Linked DNA regions of Schizosaccharomyces pombe. The gene in region 1 interacts genetically with each later gene. Each region holds a gene or a part of one and is shown in the gene's direction. Other genes may lie near its edges.

Region 1 (3,762 bases):
GATCAGCTTTCAAATGCGTCCTCTTTTTTACCTATAATTAAATTAGTTTAAATAAAGTATTTCTTTTAAACTATCCATTCTCAACATACCCGTTTTTTACCAATGCCTCCCATTCTTTGTGGTTGGTAGTTAAAAAAAATTGTACACTCTCAAGAACACCAATATGCAAAGTTCATTTCCGCCAACATGACAATAAAGATGGCAATAGACATTATTTTTTTGAAAGCTGAATTTTCTATTTTAACATATCTCATTTACATGCTGTGAACATAATTTGAGCGAGAAATTTTTTATACTAGTATAGTTAATAATAATGTTATGGGCCTAGAAGTAAAAAAAGAAAAAAACACGTGAAATTGAGAATAATGACCGTACTACGAAATTATGAAAAATCTTTTATAAACACTTATTTAATCAATAATTTTTTGGAAGTAACTGATTGTATACAAAATGATGAACTTCTAAAATATACCGGTTTATTTGTCGGGCGTAAATCTATTGTTTGTACACTGACTTTGGATGATGCATATCATTAATGTAATTGTAGCTGATATCTCTTGACTTTTGTTTTGGAAATTAAACTATTTTGTATTGATAAATTAACGTAGAAAAGCACCACGATAACCTGAACCTCGCCTCAGCAGCTGTTTGTTTAACCTATGCGGAAGACCCCCACATGGTCCTTATTATCGGTTTTATGCCTAACACTAGCAGCTTAGCAGTGGTTATTAAAATGAAAGCCCCCACAAAGTACTAAGATGGGTTTGCTAGTACGGCTAATCAAGGTTGCGTAGCAACGTTTGTCAGAGGAACGAAAAGTGGTACTTTGAATGTCATTAATTTAACCGATGATTTTCTTATTTTGTTTGTAATTTCTGATGGTCTTTTACGATATTTAATTTGAAATACTGTGCTATGAAAAAAAATAATAATAAACAATAGCAGTGAACTATGACAAACTAGCTCTTATTATATAAATTACTATACAAAGTTATCTTTTTACATGAAATTTTATTTCTCGTTTTTTTTAATCATTTTCCTTTTAAATCTTTTTTTTGGGGAGGGAATTAACAGTTTAAAAAAATTTTTAACAAGGGTTATTTTTTTGGCTCCATTTTAATTAATTGTACTCTGTAAATAAAAGATTTAATAAACTCAAGGAATATAATTGACCACAGTAATGAGTATAGAGAGACTTAAATAAAAAAAAATTAAAATTAAAATTAAATCAGCCGAAATACAAAAATCCCGAGTATTTTGCATCAAACGCATATCAGAAACCATGAGAAGCAAATAACAATTAGAAATTGTGCCCAAATTTGCTAATGTATGTCAGTAAGTTACAATTTTAATTGACCAGTGGACATCCTACTAAAGCTCATTCATTCAAACACTACAATTGATTTATTAAAGAAAAAGAAACTTTTCTGGTAAATTTAGTATGACCTTTGGTTAAGGCATCAGCCAACGCATTAAAAATTATTTGATAAATGTTTATAAAAAAAGAGTGTAGCATTTTTCGGTACTATCTAGGTATTCCTCGAAACTAAACAGTCGAAAATCTCATAGCTTGAGCTCTCCGAAATTACGTTGTAATGTGCTTTAATTTCTTTTGTATATGTAGGCTAAAATAAATATACATGAAGTTTCTACTAAGCCATTCGGAGAACTCTGTTTCGATACTCCTTCGTTGGACAAACCTTTGAAAATCACAAGACATTTCTGAGTCAACAGCGTATTAATTGCTCGATAAATTTCTTTTTCTGCTTTTAGAATAAGTGCATAATAATAAAATACACTGCAAAGGAATTTTTCAAATGTTTAGGGTTATACATCCCCCTTACCTGAATCCCTTAAGAAATAGATAAATGGAAGTGCGGCGCCCCTCTGATATTATAACCATTTAAAATTATACATCTATATAATCATAGTAAAATACGAATTAGTGTTCGAAAAATACTGGATTTTCTATCCGTTCGCTAAGATATCGTACTCCCGGATGTTACCACACTTTTCGATTAAGGGAATTGCGAAGGTTACATATGCGAAACACCTGCTGGTCGAACCAACTTTAAACACCACACCCTATTATTAGTAACACCAGACGAGGAATCCGATTCCATTAAAAGAGTATTAAAAGATTCTTGATTGATCATTGCTTTTGCTGAAAATGACCGAAATTTTCGGTAAATTGCATCGATCATCAAATTCTGAGAATACAAATCAAGCATCGCCATCCACAATACAATCGCATTCAACGCAACCGGTTCTTTCCAATGACCATTCTACGAAAGTAAACGATTACGAAGGGAAAGAGGGTGCTTCGTCTAATGGCTATGATCCCGTTTTCATGTCGGATCGGATGAAGATGCGTTACAATGAGATTACAGCTCAGCTTCACAAAGAACAGGTATGTTATAATTGATTTTTTGCTTGAAAGACAATCTTCCCCATAGCTTTCTTTATTGTGTTTTTCAAAAATCACTGTCTCCATAAATTGTTGTTCACTTGGCTAACCTATCATAGTCCTTAAAGGAAGATAAAGAATCTGGTTCTAATAGTTCCGAAAGCAATGGAATTACACCAATGGGTACATATTCAGAAAAACCCAAACTACTACAGAGTCGTACACCTCCATCTTCGTGTTACATTAGGCATGATACCGTTGTGCCAAAAGATAAAAATGGTCAGCATGCTTTTGGACGGCTTTATGTTCGATTACATCAAGGTAGAGATTTGAACGTCAAAAGTGTTAATGCACAACCTTATGCAGTAATCACCTTTGAAAAAACGCAGGTTATGGTACCTCCTCCTTTTAAAGACATTGACGGTGGGATACCCATTTCCATTCCTTCTAAAAACCGTCCTCTTGCTGGATCTGCTTCCGGTTCTTCTTCTGGACTACATTCTGAGCTAATGTTGGCTGATGTGCGTTGTCCTCATTGGGATTTTGAAACTGTATTTGATGTGACAAAAATGAAAAGTCAAATGGTTGTATCTGTATATGACAAATATGAAGACGATAAATTTTTGGGCTCCGTTAAAATTACACCAATTTTCCTACATGAATATGTGCAGGAAGCATGGTATAAGCTTGAGCCTCTTGACTTAACTAAGTCTCTGGAGGGTGAAATAAAAGTGGAAACAATTTACGAGCACATTGAACATGTTCGTTATGGGCCAGAAGATTTTACGGCCCTTCGTTTAATCGGAAAAGGTAAAGCTGCTTTAAGCTAAAAAATTTACGGTATACTAACTTTATTTAGGCACTTTTGGGCAAGTTTATTTGGTCCGTAAAAACGATACCAATCGGATTTATGCTATGAAAAAGATATCCAAAAAATTAATTGTTCGTAAAAAAGAGGTTACACATACCTTGGGCGAAAGGAATATACTTGTCAGGACTTCATTAGACGAATCTCCGTTTATTGTTGGTTTAAAGTTTTCCTTTCAGACCGCTTCAGATCTTTATTTGATAACTGATTATATGAGTGGAGGCGAACTTTTCTGGCATCTTCAACATGAAGGTCGCTTTCCTGAGCAAAGAGCTAAATTTTATATAGCCGAACTTGTTTTGGCTCTTGAACATTTGCATAAACATGATATTATTTACCGAGATTTAAAGCCTGAAAACATACTATTAGATGCAGATGGTCATATTGCTCTTTGCGATTTTGGTTTGTCTAAGGCAAACCTTTCAGCTAACGCAACTACTAATACCTTTTGTGGAACCACCGAATATTTGGCACCTGAAGTTTTACT
Region 2 (3,762 bases), on another chromosome or scaffold:
TAAGTCAAAATGTATACTCTTTTTTCTTTGTTTTCACACTTCTGCTCTCTACTTTTTGTAAGTGAGATTACGTTCTCTTTCGGTAGTTGATATGCAAAAAAACCAGTGAAATACCAGCATAAGTAAATAATATTCCTTTAGTAATTGGTACCAAGAAACCTATGTATTAAATAATCTCTAAAAATCAACATGCTTTACATTTTAAGTGCATTCTTGACAACTTTTTCAAGCTCTTCGTAGTCATCTGTAGGCACTCGCGTGATGGGACGTTGGAAGTATTCTTGAATGGCGTTCATTTCTTCCCAACTCTTTTTATCGTGAACAAAATTGATACTTACTCCAACACGGCCGAACCTACCGGTACGACCTATACGGTGAAGATATGTTTGTGGATCGGGTCTTCCTGCTTGATCTAAAGGCATATCATAGTTTACAACCAAGTTGACTTGCGATACGTCGATACCCCGAGCAATTACATTCGTAGTAACCAAAACCTTTGAAGTACCTACTCGGAATGAATCCATAATAGCGTCACGTTGTGCACCTTCCAGATTACCGGTAAGACAAGCAACAGTGTGTCCATCTGCAGTCATACGCCTAGCAATTTCTTCAGCGGTATCCTTTTTCTTACAAAATATAATTGATTGACCAATAGTCAATAACCCATATAATTCCACTAAAACATTATATTTATGTTCTTCACTTTGGCAATCCATATACAACTGCTTGATTCCCTCAACAGAAAGCTCCTCAGTCTTCAGACGAATTTCATTAGCATTGGGAGCAAAACGTTCAGCGTACTTTTCAACGCGTTCCGAAAAGGTAGCACTGAAAAGAACAATCTGAGTGTTTCTAGGAAGAAGGTGCTTGATACGCATAGATTGATCTCCTAATCCTTGCTGATCTAACATGTTGTCTGCCTCATCTAACACGAATACTTTAATATCGCGAGCGTCAAGCTGTCTTCTCTTCATCAAATCCATCACAGTGCCAGGCGTTCCGATTACAATTTGAGCATCGATTTTTGCACCTTTAGGGACGGAGTCTTTAATACCAAAAGCTGTTTTTACTTCAGTATATTTGCCCATCTCCGTCACGACATCCATAATCTGACGGGCCAATTCACGAGAAGGAGCGAGGCAGATAGCTTGAGGTTTGGGAACAGAAGCATCAACACGAGAAAGCATCGTTAATGCAAATGCAGCGGTTTTACCAGTTCCGGATTGTGATTGTCCGATCATATTGCGAGGAGGATTTGAGAGTAAAAGTGGAAGCGCCTTCTCTTGAATTTTTGAGGGTTTTTGGAATTTCATTGAATAAATTCCCTTTAATAATTCGGGCTTGAGCTCCAACTCTTCAAAACTTTTAACAGAAAAAAGAGGTGAGTTTGGATCAGCCTGTAGATCTGCTAATTTTACACGAACCTCGTTTTTATTTGGTATTAAATTAGATTCATCATTTTCAGATTGCTTCGTATTGGCGTCCTCTGCAATCGTGTTGGTCGCTTTGTCTTGCTCAGATTTTGCATCAACATTCTCAGTGATTTTTGGACCTAATCTGTCACTTAAATTTGTTGCTTTTTGATCTTCATTTTTATTTTCTGAAGTATTTAACTGATTGACTTTATCACTAATTCTTTGAACCTCTTCATCAGAGTCCAAACTAGCCCAGTCAGTTTTGCTTTCCTGTCCCAGTGTAGTTGACATTTTGGATGTTTTTTAGTAAAAAAAATAAAAAAAATCAAATTTATAGTTCAGATATCCAAACTCAGCAAGGATGACTTAGCAAACTGGATGACAATTTCTGGTGGGCAATGTAGTTGGTGATTGCTAAGTTACTCCTTAAGTGAAAGTTGAACAATATAGGTTTCGATTCACCACCGTACTTCCTTTTCATCAACATTCGTAACGTAAAGCCAAAAATTGTCACAATTTCTTCCGTCAAACTTTCTTTTTAATTGTTTTATATCCGGTACAAATTTTTATTGCAGCGATATCAAACGTGTAGATAATACTGGATAATGAGCCTGGAAACATACAAATTTAGTGATGAACTTCACGTAAGGTGTTTTAGTTATTTGGCATATTTACTAATATATAAAAGGACGATTTTAAAGTTGTCGACAGTTGGGTATGCCAAGAATGAAAATGAAGACAGTTCAACAATTAACACATTGTAACAAAGATTAATAATGGCGCGAAATGGCTTGAAGATATTCAATTGTACTACAAAGAAAGAAGTTCTATTGGTAAATAAGAAACGACAATGGTTAAATTTCAATGACTAACTTTGTTGCTAGAAAAAGAATATGCTCAGAAATTAGCCAGTCTTTCGAATAAATATGGGGAGAAGAAATCCAGAAAATCATCAGCCCTTTCAGTCGGAGATACTCCGGCAATGTCTGCTGGCTCTTTAGAATGGTATGTAAAATATTGGAACCTGTCAAGCAATTGAAGTTAGATGGATATTGAATTCCTGTTCACAGGCTAATTTTATAGTGCTTCTTTAACAACATGGTCTAAAATTTTGGATGAGTTAACGCGCTCATCAAAAACTCATCAAAAGCTATCCGATGACTATTCATTGGACATTGCTGAAAAACTGAAGAAACTAGAGTCTCATATAGAGGCTTTAAGAAAAGTTTATGATGATTTATATAAAAAATTCTCATCCGAAAAGGAGACATTGTTAAACAGTGTGAAGAGAGCCAAGGTCAGTTACCATGAGGCCTGCGATGATTTAGAAAGCGCAAGGCAAAAAAACGATAAATATCGAGAGCAAAAAACTCAAAGAAATTTAAAATTATCTGAAAGTGATATGCTCGATAAGAAAAATAAATACCTACTTCGTATGCTTGTATACAACGCCCACAAGCAAAAGTTTTATAATGAAACTCTACCAACGCTCCTTAATCATATGCAAGTATTGAACGAATACAGGGTTTCGAATTTAAATGAAATATGGTGTAACAGCTTTTCAATTGAAAAGTCTCTCCATGATACCTTATCCCAAAGAACCGTTGAAATTCAATCAGAAATTGCAAAAAATGAACCAGTCCTTGATTCTGCCATGTTCGGAAGGCACAATTCAAAGAATTGGGCACTTCCTGCTGACTTGCATTTTGAACCTAGTCCTATCTGGCATGACACGGATGCACTGGTGGTGGATGGTTCATGTAAAAACTACCTCCGAAATTTACTGGTCCACTCCAAAAATGACCTTGGAAAACAGAAAGGCGAGCTTGTATCGTTAGATTCACAATTGGAAGGTTTACGCGTCGATGATCCAAATAGTGCTAACCAGTCATTTGAATCTAAAAAGGCTTCGATAAATCTAGAAGGGAAAGAGCTCATGGTAAAGGCCAGAATAGAAGATTTAGAGGTTCGTATCAACAAGATCACGTCAGTTGCGAATAATTTAGAAGAAGGAGGTCGTTTTCATGATTTCAAACATGTTAGTTTTAAACTTCCGACAAGTTGCAGTTACTGTCGTGAAATTATTTGGGGGTTATCGAAGCGTGGATGTGTTTGCAAAAGTACGAAATATTTGCTTTCTTTCGTTAACTAACAAAACACGTGTAGATTGTGGCTTCAAATGCCATGCAAGGTGTGAACTTCTTGTTCCCGCCAACTGCAAAAATGGTGAGCCCGAAGTGGCCGACGATGATGCTGTAGATACCAGTGTTACTGCCACTGATGATTTTGATGCTTCTGCGTCGTCTTCAAATGCCTATGAATCCTATCGTAACACATACACAGATGA

What was found. Genes that interact genetically often act in the same process or in processes that back each other up.
Region 2: mutations in sck1 (region 1) and bzz1 together harm fitness less than expected from each alone (positive genetic interaction), as found in Schizosaccharomyces pombe (one large-scale study listed by BioGRID).

Annotation. Positions count from the first base shown.
Region 1 is NC_003424.3:2,403,015-2,406,776, reverse strand, and holds the start of sck1 (serine/threonine protein kinase S6K family Sck1), read left to right. Parts: upstream 1-2,073; 5' UTR 2,074-2,170; coding exon 2,171-2,410; exon of another isoform or gene 2,411-2,526; coding exon 2,527-3,217; intron 3,218-3,266; coding exon 3,267-3,762. Other genes in the region: SPOM_SPAC1B9.03C (ribosome biogenesis protein), read right to left, coding at 1-31, 90-113. UniProt on the Schizosaccharomyces pombe protein: Protein kinase that is part of growth control pathway which is at least partially redundant with the cAMP pathway. Required for trehalase activation.
Region 2 is NC_003423.3:2,464,153-2,467,914, forward strand, and holds the start of bzz1 (diacylglycerol-binding protein Bzz1), read left to right. Parts: upstream 1-1,875; 5' UTR 1,876-2,020; coding exon 2,021-2,059; exon of another isoform or gene 2,060-2,103; coding exon 2,104-2,130; exon of another isoform or gene 2,131-2,184; coding exon 2,185-2,248; exon of another isoform or gene 2,249-2,299; coding exon 2,300-2,420; exon of another isoform or gene 2,421-2,498; coding exon 2,499-3,535; exon of another isoform or gene 3,536-3,581; coding exon 3,582-3,762. Other genes in the region: ATP-dependent RNA helicase Dbp5, read right to left, coding at 195-1,706. UniProt on the Schizosaccharomyces pombe protein: Plays a role in endocytosis and trafficking to the vacuole. Functions with type I myosins to restore polarity of the actin cytoskeleton after NaCl stress.